4 linked regions of the Arabidopsis thaliana genome follow. The protein of the gene in region 1 interacts with the protein of each later gene in a pairwise test. Each region holds a gene or a part of one and is shown in the gene's direction. Other genes may lie near its edges. The genes, in order: AT5G41580, HSFA1E, HAT9 and BIM3.

Region 1 (7,997 bases):
CCGACCCGAGGAACTCATCCTCATGGATAAAGATGGAAACTCCCTCCTCCTCATGCATCGTACCAAGGTAAATATATGTACAAAGTATTTAGAATAAACTTATTTGAATATGTTTTAGAATATGGATCATTATATTCATTGTACACATCATCCTTCAAAATTACAATATCACATTTATTTTAGATTATTAAGAATCAAACCTCTACTAAATCTGTCTCACAGTTGTACTTATGAATCTGTTTTGTTAGCGTTGTAGTTGTAAATTAGTTGTGTAGATATTAGTTCTAGGTTGTAGTTATAAAACATCCAAATACTTGATTGATACAAAACAATAAATGGAGCAACAACAAAATGATTTATAAGAGTTGTGAATTTTTGGTGGAATTTACCAAAATGATATAGAAATACTTTAAAAATTGAAAGAAGTTTTCGTCGTCCTTACGGATCACTCTAGCGAAGTATCGGATCGATTTGCTTACAACCATTAGAATTGTGATAGTTTGTAAATAGTACTTAAGGTCGGCGATATGTTGATAATAATGAACAATGAATGTTGAGTATTAATTTCGCTGATAGACATGTTAGCCGATTTTGTAGAAGACGTTTTGTTTTTAGCCGATTGAAGATATGTATGAACGAAGATATTACGAATACTATAGTATATATATTATTAAGATTGAGTAGGACCAACTACACTACCGTGACACCGTCCACAATAGGTCACGTCAAAAGTTCATAAATATTCTGCATGTGGACAATTGTATTGGCAAGAATTTCGTGTAACCCGTTACATTCTTTGGGAATAGATTTACAAAATTTCATTCAGCATAAAAGTTTTGACTATAAAAGTATAATCATAATTTCATAACGACGTCTAGAATCTCCGAGTATTATATGTTTGACTTTTAGTTTCACCAAAATCTAGCTATGCCTAATTTCGTTTAAATTGATCAATTTTGACGTGACTACGTACATATGGATCTAGATATTTTTACTCAATGCAATTTTATAGACAAGTACTAGTTTGAGTTTAAAATGTTGTGTATATTAAAAACGATTTTCCTTTGTATTGTCCAGAAAATTACGCTAGTAGATAGTTGGGGAATCTATGAAGCAAATGATACAAAAGGAGAAACAAAAATACCAAAGTGCCCAACCTGGTACATGAGGAAGAACTTAAAGATGAATATTCTGAGCACCAAATCCGACATTTTGGCATACGTATATTCAGGATCGTTCGATAAGAAGAATTCATACATCATCAAAGGATCGTATAGATGTAAATCGTGTAAAATAGTGCACGTCCCATTGAACAAGACAGTGGTGGAGATCAAAAGGAAAGAGGTCAGAACCAAAGGAGTCCGGTTCGGTTCAGATGTTTTTGATCTGGTTGTTAATCCCGGTTTTGACACCGGTTTGGCAATGGCTTTGGTTTTGTTATTAGATCAAATGTTCTCTTAATTAATTAGAGGTGATCACTGGAGATAATAAACATCCTCTTTTTTGGGCCAATTGTACAGTACTATTTTAAAATATTTCATAAATAATCAAACAGTATAGTATAATATACTTATATACATGATCTTCTTTGTGAGCTTTCTAAATATGCTCATCCTATAAAATGGGAAAACAATGCCCTGGTAAAACCGTAAGTGTAGTAGTTTTTATGATGTTTATTTGAGTAATTTGATTAACTTGATGTTCTAATCTGATGAGGTAGAAACAGTAAGTTATATCTAAATAAAGTGGTTTATGAATTTTAGAATGAATAACTTATTTCAGGTGCAACTACTTTTCTTACTTGTTATGATGGTACTGAAAAAATGGTTACCAAATTACCTCATTTTCAATAGGACAAGTCTTGTGCAGTGACGGAGCTAGAATTTTAGTTTACAGGGTCATATATAATTATATATTTTTATTTAATTATTTATTTTAAATTAAATAAATATGTGTAAGAACAACTTTGAAAATAATGTAAAGAACAATATATGGAATATGTTTATAAAAGTAAATATGTACCACAATTTTAGAGATTTGTAGCCATATTTTAGAAAAAAACACAAAACAAAAATGAAAAATGAATTAATGCTTAATAAAAATAAACATGTGAGGGGTCAAATTAAAGAATCGATTATCGGCATGGGGTCATTATGGAAAATTTAAACCAAAACATCCATAAATTATTATGAGATTTAACTTAAAAACAAAAAATTATAAATGTTATGGGGTCAATTGACCCCCTTCTCCCTTCACTACTTCCGCCCCTGGTCTTGTGAGACTATACATGACGAAGTGTCCATTTCAAGAAGGCAATACCTATATTACAAATTAATGCAGACAAATAGAAACAACATAAATGCCTACATTTATGTGGTTGCAGTATTTATTTTGGTAACTTGTCTCATATGGTTATAACAAACTACCTAACGGTAATCATCGAAGATGCATTTTGGAGCATATCATCATATCGACTATCGATGGTAACTAACTGGTAAGATCCAAAAGAACAAAGGACAAGAGCTAGTTTATGAATCAAAGTGGGTCTTCAAGCTCAAGATCATTCATACACATGTTTTTATCATATTTCTTTTATAGCCTTTTTAATTTAATAAGTAAACTACTAGACCTAACCAAGGGTTCATAGTAGTGGTAATAAGGGAAATTATTACAAATAGTACAAAATAAGTTTTGTTACTAAAGTTAACACACAATTTCTAAAGTTTCAAATTTAGTAATTAAATATTTGGGGATATAATTCAGAAAACCTTTAAAGTGCAAGGGTAAAAATTCAAAAAATAATTACATAAAGAACAAATTACAAAACAATAAAGCAAAATTAATTACATGGACTTCATAAAAACAAATTAAAATGAAAAAACAGGGTCAAAGAGAATTTTAGGGTTATTGTCGATTGAGCAGAGTAATTTATTCCTTCTTCTTCTTCTTCTTCTTCAAATCGTGTTTCTCCATTTCAAAATCCAGAAACTTTGTGATTCCACGGTAGTTAGTTCCAATCTCAATGTCTACGGCGGCAGCGGCTCGTCCGGTGGCTGGAACTGGCTTACGGGAGAAGACGGCAGCGTCACTGGTCAATTCCTTCCGATTAGCGTCGGTGACTCAACGTTTACGTTACCACATTCAAGACGGAGCTAAGGTTGATCCTAAGGAGTTTCAAATCTGTTGCATCTCTTTCGCTAAGTAATTTCCTCTCTCTCTCTCTCTCGCCATTACTTATAGATATTAACATGCGCGCACAAAAATCAAAGCTTTTCTAAATGATATTCTTTAATCTCTGGGTTTTGATTTTTTGGCTGTGTTTTTGAATTGATGATATGCTTAATTTCTCTGTTCAGAGGCATTGATTTTGCTATAGCGAATAATGATATTCCTAAGAAGGTTGAGGAGTTTCCGTGGTTACTCAAACAGGTTATTTCTCAATTAAAATATGGATTTTTTTTTTTTTCTGGATTAATGGAGGCCATTGTTAGTGAACTGATGATAGTGCTTGTGTTATGTGACGTAGTTGTGCAGACATGGAACTGATGTGTACACTAAGACGGCGCTTATGGTGCTGATGATCTCTGTTAAGGTAATTAAGAGAGTAATCTGCAGACTGCTTCTGTTCTGTGAATAAGCACTTTTTTTTTGTTTAGAAAAGAGAAGCCTTTTGTTTAGATTTCATGTCGGTTGGAATGTTTGAGGTCAAAAGGTTTTCACTTTGTCACCATCTATGATGACTCATTTGGTTTTGACATATAATACTTTTGATTTTTGTTAAATGTCACAGCATGCTTGTCATTTGGGATGGTTTTCGGATAGCGAGAGTCAAGAACTTATCGCTCTAGCTGATGAGGTTTGTTTTCTTCCGAATCATGGTATAAAACCAAAAGCAGGTTATTTGGATGATGAGGATACAAATGTTTTCTTTCTTATTCAGATAAGGACTTGTTTTGGGAGTTCTGGAAGCACTAGCCCTGGTATCAAAAGTCCTGGCAGTACATTTTCGCAGATCATGGAGAGGTAGGTTTTGCTTTCACTGTGTGGCTTTGTTGATTGACATAGATTTTACTCTAGCAGTTTATTAGGAGCGTGAATATTTCCAAACTTTTATCACAAGTTAGTTAAGCAGTACCAAAAACTTCTTCAATAGAATGGTATTCACTGGATACAAATCTAAGCATTGGTTGAAATTTATTTCTTTCTGATCCCAGGTTCTATCCATTTGTAAAGCTTGGGCATGTTCTTGTTTCTTTTGAAGTGAAGGTGAGCCTTTCTTCTGTTCTAAACATCTATTTCTGATATTATCATCTAAGTGTGCTTTTTTGGCTTTCCTTGCATGACAGGCTGGCTATACAATGCTGGCGCATGATTTTTATATCTCAAAGAATATGCCACATTCACTCCAAGAGAAAATTGTATGTGTGGCTCATCTGTTAGTCATTCGATATCTCAGTCTGGATCTCTCTATAATAAATTCTACCTTTATCTGTGCAATTAGGTGGAAAATGTGAATATAACCATTGCTTGCATTCTATCTAACAGTCCTTCATATACATTTTTGAATCTATTTCATCTTGTAGATGTGCCCACTCTCTGCACCTTTTGGTTAGCAAATGATTTCTTACACCAGATTCTTGTTTGCTCTTCAGCGGTTATTTGTTGCCCAGACAGACAACATAGACACGTCTGCCTGTATTTCAAATCCTCCAGAAGTCAGGTATGCGAATTGTTTTTGCTATTTTTCCTCACCGACACGAAATGTGATCCAATTTAACCTTCCTGGCTTTCATATGAAAATTGCAGCTTCTTGCTAAATGGAAAGGGGGTTGAGAAGAGAGTCAATATCGCAATGGTTTGTGCAGTTTGACTTTTAATTGGATTTTGTTTCTCTGCACTGGTTATGTGCATGTTTATGTCAATTTTTTTCTTTCCAGGATACAGGGCCTCAACTCCCTACAAATGTTACTGCACAGCTGAAATATGGAACTAATCTTCTCCAAGTGATGGGGAATTTTAAAGGTTTCTATTCAATTATATATATCTTTTTTGTTGTCCATGTCTATTTAATTAATATCTTATTAAGATGCTTGATTGTTCAAAGGAAATTACATCATCATAATTGCTTTTACGGGACTGGTAGTGCCACCTGAAAAACCGGTTCTTAAAGATTACCTTCAGTCCGGAGTCATTGAAGCAAGTCCAGGTAATTAAAGAGCATAAGATAGGAGAGAGGAACATTTTTCTTGAATGCTCTATACTATTCCAGTTTGAATCATTCAATGATTGCAAGCACATACCTGTAAGATTTTTTTTCCAATCTAATCGCTCTGTACTTTTTTTTACCTGTCTATAGATTCAGACATCATTGAGGGGCCATCACGAGTATCTCTCAGTTGCCCTATAAGGTACCAATTCTACTTTTTTACGTACTACTGTGTTATCTTATGGTTGTTTTTTTGGTCAGTGATTTAGTCTTTAATAAAACAGTCGCAAGCGGATCAAGCTACCAGTCAAGGGCCAGTTATGTAAACATCTTCAGGTGATGCAATCAAATATCAAGCGATATTCTCTTTTTTTCCATCCTTTTAAATTGGCATACAGTGTTTTAATGTGGGTGTTACCTTATTTTTCTCGTAATATTTGTTAGTGATGTGATACTTTCTGCTGCAGTGTTTTGATTTCTCAAACTACGTTCACATAAATATGAGGAACCCAACCTGGCGCTGCCCGCATTGCAATCAACCTGTTTGCTACCCTGACATTCGTTTAGATCAAAACATGGCCAAGGCAATTAGCTATCTATGTTGTAATTTGATTTCTGCTACATTTTTGCGTTGCAGCTTAATACTGATAACTCGTCTCATATCATATCCTTAGATATTAAAAGATGTGGAACACAATGCTGCTGATGTAATCATCGATGCTGGTGGTACATGGAAGGTTACAAAAAATACTGGCGAGACCCCGGAACCTGTGCGTGAGATCATTCATGATCTAGAAGACCCGATGAGCTTATTAAACTCTGGTCCTGTTGTTTTCGATCTTACGGGGGATGATGATGCTGAACTGGAAGTTTTTGGTGACAACAAGGTTGAGGACCGGAAGCCCTGTATGTCTGATGCTCAGGGTCAATCTAATAATAACAACACAAATAAACATCCTTCAAACGATGATTACTCTTCGATATTTGATATCTCTGATGTGATCGCACTTGACCCGGAGATTTTATCTGCTTTGGGAAACACTGCGCCACAACCGCATCAAGCTTCGAATACTGGAACTGGTCAACAATATTCAAACTTATCCCAAATACCAATGTCCATAGATCCAATGCCGGTACCTGTACCATTCTCGCAGACACCATCTCCAAGAGATAGACCAGCAACTACTTCCACTGTCTTCACCATACCGAATCCCTCTCCACAATACTCTCAGGTTCATGCTTCACCTGTTACACCCACCGGAACATATCTTGGTAGAACCACTAGTCCGAGATGGAACCAGACTTATCAATCTCAAGCGCCACCAATGACAACTCCATATACGGTTTGTGATTTCGTTTGAGAGACTTGTTTCTTTCTTCAGTATTCGTATGTTGACAATATGTGTTCCTTGCAGAGCCGGAAGGTCTCAGTTCCAGTAACGAGCCAGTCGCCAGCGAATGTATCCTCTTTTGTTCAGTCTCAGCATGTCCCTAGAGTACTCAGCCAGCCTAATAATTATGGCGTCAGAGGTTTAACCAGTAGCCATGCAAGCACTTCAAGGCAGCACCCAAGTGGTCCCACTGTTCAATCTGTTTCTCGATTAAGTGACCTAGTGGATGTAGACTTGACGGTTCCTGATACATCCAACTGGCGCCCGAGGATGCGAGGAAGTCTTGTGCCCGGTTCTCATTCCACTGCTCTTGACCACATGATCATCCGACCTAGCCAACAGTCTCAAACTTCCACTAGGCTGAATAGTTCACAGCCGGTTCAGACACCATCGGTTCAAACGTCTCAAGCTCAGTCACCTTTTACAACGGCTGCCTATAGAACCGAGACAGTTTTAGGAAACCGAAACCATCCGGTGCCCGCTCCTCCTGGCATTGTTAGGCCTACTGGACCGACATCTTGATGGAGAACTTGAGAGGCTAGAACAAGGGGAAGTTGGTACTTAGGAGTTAGGACACAACACTTAACATAATAAATTAGTAACTTTATCACTTTCCCACGCCATGAACAGAGTTTAGGATTCCGGTGCGCAAGTCGTATTCTGTTTATGAGGGATTAGTTTGTATTTAGCTTGCTGTTAACTTGTAATGACGATCAAACTATAAGTGTTATCAATTACTCTTGTACCCAATAAGTTCCCTTAGTTTTCTGAACTGGTTTTTTTTTGCCCAGAACTAGTTTGAGTTAGTTAGGTTTTGGATGCAAAGTGTTTTGGTTTTCTTGTGTAAGACATTTATGCATAAAGGACCATAATACATACTTTGGCCGGTTTAGTGATGAATTTTGGGATTTGAAAGAGTAATCACAAACAAAAATCGACAACGTATCATCTTTCAAATGTCTTCCGGTTGATTATTTGTACAAGTTTTCTCTCTCTCTGAAGCATGTTTTTCTTCTTTAGAATTCTCTAGTTACCAAATGTCTGGACCCTAACTTCTCTCTGTTAAGTATGTAGAAAAATATCAAAGAAGTTGTAGAGAATGAGGGTGGGTTTAATGAAGTTAGAGGAAACTACCTTTTCATACTTACATATGTAACTAAACTTGTTTTGTCTGGTATTTGTCAAATCATCGGCGTAAACCGATCATAAACCAGAAATCAGGGGATAAAATTCAGAAACATTTGTAAAAAGTCGTAACTGTTACATTGGTTTAAAATCTGATCTACACACTTGTGACTTGTCACTTGGGAGATGTGGGTCGTCAAACGGTCAGTGGGGTGATTAACACCTTAATCACCTTTAAGTAATTACACCATTAATTAAGCCATTATATATTCAAA
Region 2 (6,141 bases), on another chromosome or scaffold:
CCTCTCCTTTCGAGGAATCGTAATGTATAAGATCATCTATCTGTGCAAGACACAGAAACCATCTGCCAGCTGATGAAGATAGATAATAAGAAGATAAAAACAACACTAGACTCAATTGCATTACCAGAGCTCCCAAAACAGATTATTCAATCATAATTCAGACATTATTACAAGCCGCTGTTCTAAAGATTTTTGACAAGTGAAATAACTTTTATTTAGTGTACATGATCACAGACGAACCAAAAACCATAAGCATTATGAACTAGTTCAACATTCAAGGTGATTACAGGACCTGAAAGATCATTATTGTTCGAATTACAAAAAGACGAATTCATAGAATGAAAACTAACCTCGCTATCTTTGGCAAGCACAAATTTGGCAGTAACAAAACCAATAAGTTCATCAGAGTGATCATCAGGCCGGCTCCGATCAACAGCAGCCCATGAGACGATATCAACTCCGTTCACAACACTCTGGAAAAACTCAGACTCATACCTGACAAAACAAAAATCAATACTTTAGAAATCTTTTCACAAGACACCAACATAGGAAAATCCAAGTAGATGGATGCATACTTGATGGGGAAGATATCGCGATGGATTTGCTCCAAACGATCTAGATCATTAGGGTTTATAGGTCTATAGTGAATACTTGGGCAAAGAGAGATTCCTGCATCTTCCATTGATGAATCATCTATGAATCTTCGAGGAAATCGCGACATTGTTTGGTATCCGAAGAACCAGAAAAGCCACTTCCCATTGTGAAGTGCCAGATCACTGGATCCGACCCGTTGAAGTAAATGGATCCGGATAGATTTAACGAATCTGGATCTGAGTGGGTTTGTTTGGATTTGATTGGTTAATCTTCGGCGAAGGAATCAATCAAGAACCGAGTTTCGAGCATGGGAAAGAAAAAGGTGCTTGCTTGCTTTGCCCTCTCCTCTGTCTCTTGGGGCTTTTTCTCGTTCCAAGTGAAGCATCTTGGCTCGTGTGCTTTGCGACAACCAATCACGTGCCTCTTTTAGAAGGAGAGTACTAATGTACTATTTATGAATGGAATATTCGATTCTCTTAAATGAAAAATTGTTCCATTTTCAATAATATAACCATTTTTAACAATAAAAATTCGTACTGTTTTTTCTATCTGAAAAAAATGGATTTGAAAAAATTCGTACTTTCGATTCATAATCTGCTTTTTATTATTATTCGTTATAAGTCTGTACTATGGTAAGAGAACCTTAAAATATTCCCCTCCACAACAAAAAATAAAAATCAAACTGGAGAAGAGTTAGGCAGTAAAGGAGAATTTCCTTGCCCTATTAACTCGATTAGGCGGGCCAATACACTTGTTATGTGTTTTCCACTTTTCTTCGTTACAAATTTAGATTAGTCTTACATGATGAGCCGTTAGATATCATAGAAAGAAATAATCTTATAAAATTTGATAAGATTTCTATAATCCACAAATCTGGATCGATGTTTATTTCAGATTTATAAATATTGTCTTAAAAAAAAAATTATTGGCCGTCTCGGCGGCAAGCAGAGAGAGAGAGACTCAACGTTTTCGTAACAACAAAACTTTGAGTAGCAGAAAATTATCCAAAAAAAAACGTGAAACGCAAATGGAAAAAATTGAGAAAAGTAACGCGAGTCCAGTGCCACGTATGAAAAAAAGAGCTTAGGACCAGATACGTTAATCAGAAAAAGACCAGGTACGTACGTTAATTAATGTTTTTTTAAAAAGGCCAAGCACGTTAGTCCAGCCCACGTGGTATTTCTTATCTTAACAACAAAACTAATTTTTTAATTTAATAATCGGACGTTGCAGAGGTAATCAGATCAACGGTAGAGATTACGACACGTTATATCACTCTGCGAAACTCCACCGCTTTCTGGAATTAAAAAAATCAGAGTGTATAAATAAAAGAGCAGAGGTAAAAGCTATCTCCAGAGTTTAATATAAGTGTAGACAGAGAGAGAGAGAGCTTCTTTCTTCTTCTCTTCGTCGCTAAGAGATGATCTTCGAATATAAATCTCTGTAAGGTTTGCGAAGACCGGAGTAGTGAATCTCGGAATTGTTGAAGAAGACGGTACACCGGAATCAATTGCGATTTTGATTTATGGGAACGGTTTGCGAATCTGTAGCGACGGCGAAATCTTCGACGGCGGTGATGAGCTCCATTCCGCCTTTTCTGAGCAAAACGTACGATATGGTTGACGATCCATTGACGGACGACGTGGTGTCTTGGAGCAGCGGAAACAACAGCTTCGTGGTTTGGAACGTGCCTGAGTTCGCCAAACAGTTTCTACCAAAGTATTTCAAGCACAACAATTTCTCCAGCTTCGTCAGACAGCTCAATACTTATGTGAGTGAACTTCGATCGATTCTTTTTTATTTGTTTTTCTCTTCATTGATTCGATTTTCTTCAATTTCGTAGTTCGATTTTAGGGAATCTTACTTTATGTGCTTCATTTTTATTTTACTCTCTTGTTTTTTTTGTGGTTGAATTAAGCATTAGTTATTGATAAAACTCACGAATGATTTAAGGTTGCAAGAAGGTGCTTTGAGAAGTCGACTCCTATTTAGTGTATAGTATGATGCTACTGATTGATGTTCCTATATAGTTGTTGACGCTGGTGGTTGAACTATGCACGTCTAGTAGGTTGTGTTAATGTTGATTTTAGTTGCACTAACTGTTAAGATTGGATCTTTTTGGGTTCTGACAAACTCGTGCAAGATAATTTCACATATTTGTATTGTTCTTCAGTTGTTTTTTGTACATGTATACCCTGTGAACTGCAGGCATATATGTTTTTGTTTTTCTAAGTATCTGAGCTTGCATCCGTGTCTGTGAGGCTGGAATGAATTTTCTTAGGTCAAGCAAAACTAACAAGTGTATACTCTTGCGTAGCTTGTTCCTCCCCTGTTCTTATTTACTTACCAAAAGGTTCCACGAACTTTGCAGGCTTATTTGGACATGTGCTCATATGTGTCTGACGATTGGTTGATTCAGCACTTCCATTTCTGGCCTCTTAAGTCACAAAACAAAATTTCTATCAGTTGTCCCATGTTAGCTTTCCATTCGTTTGTATTTGTCCGTCCAGGTACATGCCGATACACTAACAACTGTATTAGTTTCCTTGGACCATGGTAGTTTGGTGCTGCAGCTAGACCCAGTGAACGTATCATACCATATCTAGAATAGTTGTTATTAACGTATTTAATGGTCTTTATGTTTATACAAATCTTCTATGTTGGCTTCCTATTGCAACGGAATCCAAGTAACTTCTTGCGGTTGATGACTGTTCCATTCTCCATGCTTCTTTTTTTCAGGGTTTTAGAAAAGTTGATCCAGACCGCTGGGAGTTTGCAAACGAGGGCTTTTTAAGAGGCCAAAAGCAAATACTAAAGAGTATTGTCCGGCGAAAACCTGCACAAGTGCAGCCTCCACAACAACCTCAAGTTCAGCACTCATCTGTGGGTGCGTGCGTTGAAGTGGGCAAATTTGGACTCGAAGAGGAAGTGGAAAGACTTCAGCGCGATAAGAACGTCCTTATGCAGGAACTTGTAAGGTTGAGGCAGCAACAACAAGTTACCGAACATCATCTGCAGAATGTGGGGCAGAAAGTTCATGTGATGGAGCAGAGGCAGCAACAGATGATGTCCTTTCTAGCAAAGGCTGTCCAAAGTCCAGGTTTCTTAAACCAATTTTCTCAGCAGAGTAATGAAGCAAACCAACACATTTCTGAAAGCAACAAAAAGAGGAGGCTACCTGTTGAGGACCAGATGAATTCTGGCAGTCATGGGGTTAATGGTCTTAGCCGCCAGATTGTGAGATATCAGTCATCGATGAACGATGCAACAAACACTATGCTTCAACAGATACAGCAGATGAGTAATGCACCTAGCCATGAATCTCTCTCAAGCAATAATGGTAGCTTTCTTTTGGGCGATGTTCCAAATTCTAACATTTCAGACAATGGGAGCTCCTCAAATGGATCACCTGAAGTTACATTGGCAGATGTTTCATCCATTCCTGCAGGCTTCTATCCTGCAATGAAGTACCACGAGCCTTGTGAAACAAATCAAGTCATGGAGACCAATTTGCCTTTTTCTCAAGGTGATCTCTTACCTCCAACGCAAGGAGCAGCAGCTTCTGGGAGCTCAAGTTCGGATCTTGTTGGATGCGAGACAGATAATGGAGAGTGTTTGGATCCAATAATGGCTGTTTTGGATGGCGCACTCGAACTAGAAGCTGATACCTTAAATGAGTTGCTTCCTGAAGTCCAAGATTCTTTTTGGGAACAGTTCATTGGTGAGAGCCCAGTGATTGGTGAGACAGATGAGTTAATCTCAGGATCAGTGGAAAATGAACTGATATTGGAGCAACTAGAGTTACAATCAACCCTGAGTAATGTGTGGAGCAAGAATCAACAAATGAACCATCTTACTGAACAGATGGGACTTCTCACATCAGATGCTCTCAGAAAATGAGATTGCCACAGGCCACAATCTTTCCTCACGAGGTAATCAGTCTATCTATATTGATATGTTATAAACCACACACTTTCCAAAATTTAAATTTTGTGCAAAACCAAACCCCTCGTCTTTGTCTTGTTATCGCAGATGGGTTAAGATTTTGTGGAGCCGCAACAACAAAAAGAATATGACCAAAGGAGGTACTATGTATGTATGTATCAAACTGTTGTAACTCTAATTCTTGTCAATGTATAATAAAATAAGAGAAATATTGCCTTAAAAGATTTTTGCATTGCAATATCTTTGTTTGTTACTGACAGAATGAAAAGGAGATGCTTCAAAGTGAGAGATATTCTTCTGTTCTTGTGTATGTCTTTAGAGATCCTTGTTTATTTTTGTTACATTAAGTGCAAAAATTGGCATTTTGGTTAACCTGTGGCCAAATCTTACCTGCTTTAGTGTTTTTTTATCAGTCCTTCACTTTTAGTTTCTTGAGTAAAACTAATGTTCCAATTTCGTCTAAAGGAAATCATCTAAAGAGAGAGTAAAAAGGAAGAACGTGTGTCGTGTGGATATAGTAACAAAGTGGTTTAAAAGGATCAAGTCATTGATTACACGGAATCAAAGTGTATGTACATGCATATGTTAAGCTCTGAAACTGCAACCGAACCAGATCCATTTGTCGTTTGTATCAATCTTAAACTTGCTTTTAACATTACATACAACATTACATATGATATTACCATTAGTTGTAATTTATATAGCTTATATGATATATATCTATTTCTGAAAACTATATAAATATTTTACATATGATAAATTTCACAGATATCTCATGGATATATTGCTTTAAAAGAGGATATGAACATTAATAAACATGTAATTTGTTAAAAGAATTGATAAAGACCATATATTAAGGATAAAATAGTTACTCTGAAAGAAAATTTGAACATTCATGCATGCAATATATAACGTATGTCGAACACTCGATTCATATATAGCTAACAAATGTCGAAAATATTATCTTCTTTAAAATACGAATCAAAGCTATAACATTTTTCTATTGTCAAGAAATCTTTTGGCATCCATTTCTACAAACCAGTTCCGGTGAATTAACGCTTAGCACGACTGTTTTCCCTCCACCGAACAACCTTTGACCGTTCCAATAATTGGTTCAATTAATAATTTAATTTAAAAAATTTCGTATTCCATCCACAATCATTTATTTGATTTAAATAAAATAAAATTTTTATTCTCTTGCTCATTAATAAGAAAATCAAAATCTTTACTCGTTTGAAATTTGTAATCCATTACCTGTCATCGTTGACTTGTCAAGAAGAAACAAATCAACTCTAAAAAGAAAAATGTTGTTCATCGAAATCGAAGCTTGACAGTATTCAAAATCAGATTCGAGATGAGCTGCGACGGAGGCAAACCGGCGCCGGCGAAACTAGGCGACGAACAACTAGCGGAGCTCCGGGAGATATTCCGATCATTTGACCAGAACAAGGATGGAAGTTTGACGGAGCTCGAGTTAGGCTCACTTCTAAGATCTCTCGGTCTAAAGCCGAGTCAAGACCAACTCGACACATTGATCCAGAAAGCAGATCGGAATAACAACGGACTGGTCGAGTTCTCCGAGTTCGTCGCCCTCGTCGAGCC
Region 3 (4,652 bases), on another chromosome or scaffold:
TTAGTTTTAAGAACAAAATAGACCGCAAAATTCAGAAAGTTGTTTACATGTTTGAAGAACTATTTTGAGTTTTGGACTTTGGTTTGAATTCTTCTGGCTTACAAGAAAATAAAATATTGTTGACAAATACAAATATATATTTCTATATTATATACATAATGTGAGCTAAATTCATGAATATTTGCACAATGTCAAAGTCAGATTATACTAATATTCTATTAGAAAAATAGTCTAATCAAGTAGCAATGAGCACCAATTCCACGGTGCGACACCATATTAAAGTTTATAGTTAAAATTGATGAACTATTCTACTTTTTATCAATTTAATTAATATTCCTCAAAAAAAAATCAATTTATAATTAATATAAGATTATCCACGAACTTTCATCATTCTTAATTTCCTAGCATATTGATAACTCGTCGTACCTAGAAAAAGTCAAATGTTATACAATGATATGAACTGAAAAATCACATTAAGTTATAATTGGTATTTTTCATTGATTGAAGCATTAATATCGTGTGTGTGCTACTAGCAGAATTAGGGGGTAAAACAGAATTTCGTTAAGAAAATGCATTAATTAAAAAATAAGAAAGATATATATATATATACATATATATATATAAGAGTAGATTATAAATGAAAAAATAATTAAGGATTAAAAATAATGATAATAATAATATGTATAAGATGGGTAACCTAACTTTACTTGGACGGTCGACAAAAAAAAAAAAAAACTTTACTTGGACGAGTATAGCCGACAAATTCATTATTGGGAAGTGCCAAAACAAATAACAAAGCTGAGACCAAACCTAATGAAACGTTACACATAAACTTTCTTAATCCATTACTCCAAAGATTTTAGGTTATTGTTGACGAATCGTATTCACCCATATCATTTTTTTAGTTTCTACCCACTTTTATTGTACTTCTCCTTTGTGTGTTCTCTTGATAATTCTAATGTTACGTCAGGTAACCAAACAAAAAGTGATTTAAAAGGTGAGCACCCATTTTTTACAACTGTTTCGACCACATATTGCAATTTGAATAAAAATCGGGTAAAATAAACCTAACTACGGACTTAAGACTTTTGATTATATCTAGCGATATAGCTTGACCGAGTCTTAATTTGTGATGTAATGACTGCTCAAAATATAATAGTTTGAATTCCGGCTTTTAACACCATGCATGGTATAAATCAGTAACATTTGTTATCATGGTATAGTGACATTTATATATATAGTTGTTCTTATTTTAGTATTTTACCCTAATATATAAATATATTCGTACACTTTAGTTTCAAAATGATTTTACTTCCTTTTTTCTCTTATATGTTTTATTGGTACATCAGTTTATCTTGAAAGAGAAAGCGCGATATGATATATTATAAAACTCTAGGAAATACTTTGTAATCTATATAGATAACTGTGAGTTAAAGCTCGAGACTAATTATGGATGTAACGAGTTATTGGTACGGATGAATCACCTTGTTTAAAAAATTTCGAAAATAAAGTATATGCCTAAGCCTAACTCTTTCCAAAAAGTACTAAATTAATTGGTGAATGACATCAAGAGAACCAAACCTAAACAAGATGGTGGGGATCACTATCCATATGTATACGAAGAAAAAAAATAACTAAAATATATAATACATAATTAAATAAATGAATAAAACATCAAGGGCCAATGTGTTTCTATGATAAGGAAAAGGAGGCTGAAAATTAGTGGGTAAAAGTAAAACTGTCTTGTGGTCCGTTATTTAAAGGCACCTCTTAATCACTTTCTAATTACTATTCATACTAATTTCGTCTCTTTTTTTTTTTTTTGTCTACAATAACGTACGCTTCATGATAAAAATATTCATGATATAAAAATCTAAAATACCGATGCCGACTGAACCCAATGATACCAGAAAAAGAATGGAGAAAGCTTTAAATATAATATTTAATTTATATTCATGATACGATAATTCCATCTTCTACCAAATATAAAATCATTGAACTTTTTCGGGAACTTTTCTCTTATTAGTGGGAAGAATAGTAGCAAGTGCCAAGTGAGATGCTCATTTGGTCAACCTTTGCAAGTAAGAAAAATAAAAGTAGAGAGAATTGTGCCATCATAATTTCCCACATTATTTTTTTTTTCTTTCAGGAAAAGAATTACCAAGAAAATAAAATCATTTCTTTAAAATAATATAAATCATTCCTTTGATTAATAACTATTAGCCATCCACCCACCCATCAATTTCTTAAAAATATAAAATAAAAAAAATACTTTTCTTCTCCTTCTTAAGAAGCCCCATTGGCTTCATCTCCTCCCATTATCTTCTAAACTCATTTCCTTTTCCTCTCGAAATCTCAAAGATAGATAAATTTTAAAGGCATATTTTTTTCATTTCGACTCAGATGGGTTTTGATGATACATGCAACACAGGTCTTGTTCTTGGATTAGGTCCCTCACCAATTCCAAATAATTACAATAGTACCATCAGACAATCCTCCGTTTACAAGCTCGAGCCGTCGTTGACTCTATGCCTCTCGGGCGATCCCTCGGTTACCGTGGTGACCGGAGCTGACCAGCTATGCCGTCAGACGTCATCTCACAGCGGAGTCTCTTCTTTCTCAAGCGGGAGGGTGGTGAAAAGAGAGAGAGACGGTGGCGAAGAGTCGCCGGAGGAGGAAGAGATGACGGAGAGAGTTATAAGTGATTACCATGAAGATGAAGAAGGTATTAGTGCTAGAAAAAAACTTAGGCTTACGAAACAACAATCTGCTCTTCTTGAGGAAAGCTTCAAGGATCATAGCACCCTTAATCCCGTAACTACATATCCTTAATCCTAATTCTTTTTTATTATACGTTACTAATCACTTTTGATAATTCTTATCCAATCAGATTCTTTGTTGTTATATTTTATTTACAGAAACAAAAGCAAGTTCTGGCTAGACAGCTGAATCTAAGGCCTAGACAAGTTGAAGTATGGTTTCAAAATAGAAGAGCCAGGTAAAAAAAATTATATTATAAATTATCAGAATATTTGATTTTTTCATGTGTCAAAATTTCTTTAATAGTCAGAAAATTTTGTAGGTGAAAATATTTTCTATTTTTTAGGTGATATGATTTTTCTTTCGGTTATATATATTTAATTATTTATTTTATTTAATGAATGAGCAGGACAAAGCTGAAGCAAACAGAAGTAGATTGTGAGTTTTTGAAGAAGTGTTGTGAAACATTAGCAGATGAGAACATAAGACTTCAGAAAGAGATTCAAGAACTCAAAACCCTAAAATTGACTCAGCCCTTTTACATGCACATGCCTGCATCGACTCTAACGAAGTGTCCTTCTTGTGAGAGAATCGGCGGCGGCGGCGGGGGTAATGGAGGAGGAGGTGGCGGCAGCGGGGCTACCGCGGTGATTGTAGATGGAAGTACGGCCAAAGGAGCTTTCTCTATCTCCTCAAAGCCTCACTTCTTCAACCCTTTTACTAACCCATCTGCAGCTTGTTGAATAGTAGTAATTCGTTTAATTTTATTACTTAAAATATTAATTTTCTTTTTTTTTTGGGTGGCATTTTAACTAGTAGGAAGAACACAAAAACTATGTTAGAAAGGGTAAGATGCGTATAGATGGTCTCTTCTACAATTCCCACTTTGTTTTTCAGTGGGATTGCTGGTTTGAGAAAAAGAATAGTTTGTAATTATTATTTTATTTGTAGAAAAAGGTAAAATAGTCTTCACTTTAATTTATACATCTTATTTTCTCACCTTCAATTTTAGTCAAGTAAATCATGTTTGTAATAAATGAAAAACTATTTAACAATATAATTATACATGGGAATTTTTCATGCATACTAATGATCAGCCGATGATTACTTTCATCATTTTGTGTTTAGATCTTAAGGGGCTGTATTGTTCATAAAAAAATAAAAAGATAAAATATATAACGTATAATATCATATTTAAATGGGACTCAATGGATGTGGTGGTGATAAGCTACAAGAATACTAAATTACAAATCTCAATCTAAAAGTTAAAACTTTATACGCTAAAATACGACATCTATGTAATATAATGGTAGGTCATGTTTTACATCACATTAAACATCTAATGCAGTTTTCGTTTGATCTTTCCTATTATATTATATGACATTTCAAGCTTGTATAAGGTTCATTGGATTATTGCTACAAAAAGAAAGAATCTTATATTATATCATGTGAAAACATCTGATAATTAAGACTATATCATAACAAACAAAGTTCTTTTATATTAGATTCATCATTCATCTAAACAAGGCAGTGGTATCAACTTGATTTGTATTTGAACTCTTGAATCCAAAAACGGAAAGAAAAATTGATGGAAACTATGTTTTCCCACCAATAAATAAAAAGTTATATGGGAATACTAAGCAGATGGGAAAGCCACAACTTTTAAAAGGGTTTATAATTTTAGTAGCACCAAACTTTTCTCTTTTGAGTAAATCCAAAATTGAGTTGTGTAATCAGAAGCATTAATTTGATGTGATAGTAATTCTTTTACTCAAAATATTATACTTATGGATTATCCAAAGGGAAAATTCAAACAAAAAAATGGAAATTGGGTGTGAAGGATTTTAAGCGAGAGAGAAAAAGGGTGTGGGGTTTGGAGGTTAGCTCACGTG
Region 4 (5,352 bases), 1.1 Mb from region 1:
TCTCAGCATTGCAGTCTTCTTCAACTATAAAGACCGTCAGCTTGTGATGGCCATGCTCCTTGACAGTAACCTAGATGTCGAGTATGGGTTAAGAACCCTCGCCAATAAATCTCTAATACATATATCTAGGAATGAGAAAATAGTGATGCATAACTTACTACAACATGTGGGTAGACAAGCCATTCAAAGACAAGAACCTTGGAAACGCCACATCTTAATAGATGCTGACGAGATATGCAATGTCCTTGAAAATGATACAGTAAGTATTCCACGTTCTAAACTTAATCATATTGTGAAGATTCACAGATCTTACATATTGTGCTCACGATTTCTTACCTTTGTAATATTTTTTCAGGATGCTAGAATTGTGTCAGGGATATCATTTGATATATCCAGAATCGGCGAAGTTTTTTTAAGCGAGAGAGCTTTTAAAAGATTGTGTAATCTCCAATTCCTCAGGGTGTTTAAGACTGGATATGATGAAAAAAACAGAGTGCGCATACCGGAGAACATGGAGTTTCCACCTCGTCTAAGGTTACTACAGTGGGAAGCATATCCGAGGAGAAGTCTTTCTCTTAAACTTAACCTGGAATATCTTGTCGAACTTGATATGGAAGGTAGCCTGCTCGAGAAGCTATGGGATGGAACTCAGGTTAGTTATCATAAATTCATATCTTTAATGATGTTATACATATTTTCTCTCTATTCTGATGTTTCTACTCTAACATCTGGTTTACATTCAGCCCCTTGCAAATCTCAAGAAGATGTCTTTGTCAAGTTCATGGTATTTAAAGAAACTTCCGGATCTGTCAAATGCTACAAATCTCGAAGAATTGGATCTGAGAGCTTGCCAGAATTTAGTAGAGCTTCCTTCCTCCTTTTCTTATCTGCATAAGCTAAAGTATTTGAATATGATGGGATGCAGAAGGCTAAAAGAAGTTCCACCTCATATCAACTTGAAGTCTCTTGAATTGGTCAACATGTATGGATGCTCAAGATTAAAAAGCTTTCCAGATATTTCTACAAACATCAGTTCACTCGACATATCATACACTGATGTGGAAGAACTACCTGAATCAATGACGATGTGGTCTCGCCTACGTACTCTCGAAATATACAAAAGTAGAAACCTCAAGATAGTAACACATGTGCCCCTAAACCTAACATATCTAGACCTCAGCGAGACTAGAATTGAGAAGATTCCAGATGACATCAAAAATGTTCATGGGCTGCAAATTTTATTTCTAGGTGGCTGCAGAAAACTCGCATCATTGCCAGAGCTTCCTGGTTCGCTCTTGTACTTATCAGCAAACGAGTGTGAATCACTTGAGAGCGTATCTTGCCCTTTTAATACTTCATACATGGAACTCAGCTTCACCAACTGCTTCAAACTAAACCAAGAAGCACGCAGAGGAATTATTCAACAATCATTTTCTCATGGGTGGGCATCCTTACCTGGAAGAGAGTTGCCCACTGACTTATACCACCGATCTACCGGACATTCCATCACCGTTCGTCTCGAGGGCAAGACTCCTTTTTCTGCATTCTTTGGATTTAAGGTTTTCCTCGTGATTTCCCCTAACCATGATGCTGAAGAAACTAGCAATTCTCCCTTATTTTGTCCTCGCATTGGCAAAATCGGTTGCTCCGATGACGAAACACCTATTTATATTATCCCCAAACCTCGAGCAGAACATCTAGTTATGTTTCACTCTGACTTGCATAACAAGGAAAAATGTCATGAAGTAGGCAACGAGATACTGTTTGAATTCAGCAACATATCCGACACCTATGAGATTATTGAGTGTGGTGTCAGATTCTATACAGATGAACAGGTGAAATCAGTGAAAGGAGAAATGAATATGAAATAGACCAAGTTTGTGAAGATGAAAACGATTGGAGCTATGAGTTTGGACCCGTGGAAGCATTGGAATGCTCTAAAAATAATGGACATAATGATAGCCTAATCTGTACTTCGAACGAAGACAAGATCGAAGCCAACAAATACACAGATTGTTGGAGTTGGCTCATCATCTGTTTTGATGTCTCCCATATTGTGAGAAGCATCGGAAGTTTAGTTTGGGGAGGAAGATGAGAGAAGCAAGAAGGAGAATATCAAAGTGGAGAAGTCGAACGAATTTGCAAGTGAGGAAAGAATATCTGTTTATACTTTACAATGACTTGTTTGGCTGCTTCACTGAGTTGGATATGATGAGTAGTAGCATCATACTGTTTGAATTCGGATGCAGCAAATATTACTGAAATGCAGTGTACGGATCGTGAAAACTGACAAAATTGATAGTAGCAACAACAGTGAATTAATTTGGGCCTGAAACTATCCGTTTTAAATGGGCTTTTGAGCCTTTCACATTATCTATGTAATTTTCGATTTTATCTTCCTTTTCTTTTCACCTTCTCGACGAACACACCTACACAAAAATCAATCACAGTCTCTGTCTCACTCGCCGGAGTTTCGGTCACTGCGCCATCTCCGGGGTCGAGTTCGTCGTACTTCATCGAACTATGAACTCTCATGATATCGATGATCAGTTAGAAGCAGATGTATACAGTAACTTGCCTTCTCGAAATGATTCTTCAACAGGGAGGAGAAATCGAAACTCGTGTAGATCGAAACACTCAGAGACTGAGCAACGAAGAAGAAGCAAAATCAATGAAAGGTAAATAATAAGTGTTCAAAGTTTGAATTTTTATCAGATTTTCTAAAAAGGGTAACAAGAAAGTTTCGTAATTTGTGATTGTTGGTTGGTGGATACAGATTTCAGAGTTTAATGGATATTATACCTCAGAATCAGAATGATCAGAAACGAGATAAAGCTTCTTTCTTGTTGGAGGTTAGTAAAATTTATAGTTTTGAACAGAACATGTGTTTCAGAGAATCAGAATGATGTTTGCTTTTATATGTTGTCTCAGGTTATAGAGTATATTCACTTTCTTCAAGAAAAAGTTCACATGTATGAAGATTCTCACCAAATGTGGTATCAATCCCCAACCAAATTGATTCCTTGGGTATATTCCTTCTCCTATCTTTGGTTGGTTTTCTGTTATATTGAATCGTTTTTGTTACATTTTTTTAGAGAAACATGGTTATTGTGTTAAGTGTTTCATCTTTCTTGGTATTTTTGACAACTGTTTCATGTAACTTTGATGCAGAGAAATAGTCATGGGTCTGTTGCGGAGGAAAATGACCATCCTCAAATCGTTAAAAGCTTTTCAAGTAATGATAAAGTTGCTGCTTCTTCGGGTTTTCTCTTGGATACGTACAATTCAGTAAATCCTGATATTGACTCAGCAGTTAGCACCAAGATTCCTGAACACAGTCCTGTTTCAGCAGTTTCATCGTATCTACGTACCGAGCCTTCGCTGCAGTTTGTTCAGCATGACTTTTGGCAACCAAAAACAAGTTGTGGAACAATTAACTGTTTTACAAATGAATTGTTAACATCTGACGAAAAAACATCAGCCAGCTTGTCCACTGTCTGCTCACAAAGGTAAGACATATGTAGAGCAAAATAAAGCTTTTTTTGTTCAGTAATTAATTCATTTTTTTGGTAGAAAGTTTGGGTTGGTATATAGTTTCTCACGGATGTACACTCATTTCCTTCCTGTCTGGCTCTCCTTAAACAGTGGCTTACCTTTTTTGGATACTAAGAGAGAATGATATAATACAAGGTTCCAATGATGCCTCAGCTATTTGCGGAGACTTCTTGTTTGCCTTGGCTATGAAGTTCTGTAGGATAGAGTATGAGATAAATGCTGTAAACTTGGTAATTGTTAGAGGAAAAGATTTTGCATAACCATAATCCAAAGTTTCTCTTTTGAATAGTGCTTCTCTCTCCTAAATAGGTAGTCATTCAAACTGAAGATCCTATCTGCTTCTGTATTTGGAACAGACTCAGGGTTCTAAAAACGGATAACTGGAGGAAATAAAGATGGAGAGATTTGATTGAAAACTCTTGTTTGGTTTGATTGTGAACAGGGTACTTAACACTCTAACTGAAGCACTTAAGTCATCGGGTGTTAACATGTCAGAGACCATGATATCTGTGCAGTTAAGCCTTCGGAAAAGAGAAGATCGCGAGTATTCTGTTGCTGCGTTTGCTTCTGAGGTATGCCTGTAACATTTTTACAGTGGAAAAGAAAAAGAAGTCTACTACTCTGCAAGTAATTCTTATAAAAACATTTCTATGTATTTTAATTTGTATTTTGATGCTATGTATCTTTTTCATTAGGATAATGGTAATAGCATCGCTGATGAAGAAGGGGACTCTCCTACTGAAACTAGAAGCTTCTGCAATGATATTGATCATTCCCAGAAGAGAATAAGACGATAAGATCTGGTTTTCTATTTTCTATGTTATGACAACTGTTTGATAATTTTGTTACTTTCGGTGAGTCAGGATCAGTAGGTGTAGATACTACTTTTATCGTGCTGCAACTATTTTAAATGATATAGTAAAAACTAAGTAGAATGATGTAACAAGTTTCGCAAATCTATAACAAGAGTTTGCTCCATTTAATGGTACTTTAAGTATATGGTCTCTTAGATATATCACTTCTTGCCCTTCTATTTCTCACACTATTAACCGGGAAATTATTTCGTGCTTGTTGACATGTCTGTATCAAGTAATGCGTTTGATTTGCAGAAAGGAGTCCTTGTTTTCTTGTGTCTCAAGCTTGATTTGAGCTAGAGTATCTAGATCTTTAGATTCAAGAACAGATGCAATATTCTGTAGAAGTTGAAAACTCATCTTTATTCTTTAACCTTATGTAAATATGACTGTCTATACAACAGATAGTTCATCTCTCGACTAAATGTTTGGTATATATATGTATATATTATGATACTCTTGTTCGATTAAGGAGGCTGTTTGTTTGCTGAAGGAGATGAAGCAGGAGGAGGGCCAGGTTTGTTTGGTGGTGGTAGGAATGGGAATGGAGGAAATGGAAAGATCGACGGAGGTGGAGGAGGAGGAGGAGGAGGTGGTGGTGGTGGATTTAGGCCTGGAAAGATCGGTGGCAGTGGAGGAAAGAGAGACCATGGTGGAGGAGGAGTGGGAAGAGGAGGACGAGGCTGAAATGGGTTTGGAGGGAATATCGATGGAGGAGGAGTGGGAGGAGGCTGAGGAGGATGAGGCTGAAATGGGTTTGGAGGGAAGAACGACGGAGGAGGAGAAGCTGGAGCTGGAGGAGGCTGATGAAATATTGGAGGGAAGAACGACGGAGGAGTTGTGGGAGGAAGCTGAGGAGGATGAGGCTGAAATGGGTTTGGAGGGAATATCGATGGAGGAGCAGGAGGTGGCTGAAGAGGACGAGGCTGAAATGGGTTTGGAG

The links.
Region 2: the proteins of AT5G41580 (region 1) and HSFA1E interact in a two-hybrid assay, tested with the Arabidopsis thaliana proteins (one large-scale study listed by BioGRID).
Region 3: the proteins of AT5G41580 (region 1) and HAT9 interact in a two-hybrid assay, tested with the Arabidopsis thaliana proteins (one large-scale study listed by BioGRID).
Region 4: the proteins of AT5G41580 (region 1) and BIM3 interact in a two-hybrid assay, tested with the Arabidopsis thaliana proteins (one large-scale study listed by BioGRID).

The regions. Positions count from the first base shown.
Region 1 is NC_003076.8:16,625,685-16,633,681, reverse strand, and holds AT5G41580 (RING/U-box superfamily protein), read left to right. Parts: upstream 1-2,861; 5' UTR 2,862-3,022; coding exon 3,023-3,201; intron 3,202-3,356; coding exon 3,357-3,429; intron 3,430-3,526; coding exon 3,527-3,592; intron 3,593-3,790; coding exon 3,791-3,856; intron 3,857-3,940; coding exon 3,941-4,023; intron 4,024-4,214; coding exon 4,215-4,266; intron 4,267-4,346; coding exon 4,347-4,418; intron 4,419-4,652; coding exon 4,653-4,720; intron 4,721-4,806; coding exon 4,807-4,855; intron 4,856-4,937; coding exon 4,938-5,022; intron 5,023-5,104; coding exon 5,105-5,206; intron 5,207-5,356; coding exon 5,357-5,408; intron 5,409-5,490; coding exon 5,491-5,542; intron 5,543-5,673; coding exon 5,674-5,790; intron 5,791-5,880; coding exon 5,881-6,549; intron 6,550-6,621; coding exon 6,622-7,119; 3' UTR 7,120-7,497; downstream 7,498-7,997. Other genes in the region: AT5G41590 (LURP-one-like protein (DUF567)), read left to right, coding at 1-67, 1,078-1,461; WRKY24 (WRKY DNA-binding protein 24), read right to left, coding at 7,993-7,997. UniProt on the Arabidopsis thaliana protein: Together with MOM1 and PIAL1, regulates transcriptional gene silencing (TGS) independently of changes in DNA methylation.
Region 2 is NC_003074.8:671,495-677,635, forward strand, and holds HSFA1E (heat shock transcription factor A1E), read left to right. Parts: upstream 1-1,933; 5' UTR 1,934-2,119; coding exon 2,120-2,365; intron 2,366-3,333; coding exon 3,334-4,494; 3' UTR 4,495-4,526; intron 4,527-4,626; 3' UTR 4,627-4,934; downstream 4,935-6,141. Other genes in the region: MCC1 (MEIOTIC CONTROL OF CROSSOVERS1), read right to left, coding at 1-40, 351-495, 576-721; AT3G03000 (EF hand calcium-binding protein family), read left to right, coding at 5,894-6,141. UniProt on the Arabidopsis thaliana protein: Transcriptional activator that specifically binds DNA sequence 5'-AGAAnnTTCT-3' known as heat shock promoter elements (HSE).
Region 3 is NC_003071.7:9,703,800-9,708,451, reverse strand, and holds HAT9 (Homeobox-leucine zipper protein family), read left to right. Parts: upstream 1-2,234; 5' UTR 2,235-2,403; coding exon 2,404-2,814; intron 2,815-2,918; coding exon 2,919-2,998; intron 2,999-3,169; coding exon 3,170-3,503; 3' UTR 3,504-3,820; downstream 3,821-4,652. UniProt on the Arabidopsis thaliana protein: Probable transcription factor.
Region 4 is NC_003076.8:15,556,560-15,561,911, forward strand, and holds BIM3 (BES1-interacting Myc-like protein 3), read left to right. Parts: upstream 1-2,341; 5' UTR 2,342-2,523; coding exon 2,524-2,678; intron 2,679-2,776; coding exon 2,777-2,852; intron 2,853-2,931; coding exon 2,932-3,027; intron 3,028-3,171; coding exon 3,172-3,509; intron 3,510-3,997; coding exon 3,998-4,127; intron 4,128-4,250; coding exon 4,251-4,352; 3' UTR 4,353-4,567; downstream 4,568-5,352. Other genes in the region: AT5G38850 (Disease resistance protein (TIR-NBS-LRR class)), read left to right, coding at 1-259, 356-652, 744-1,871.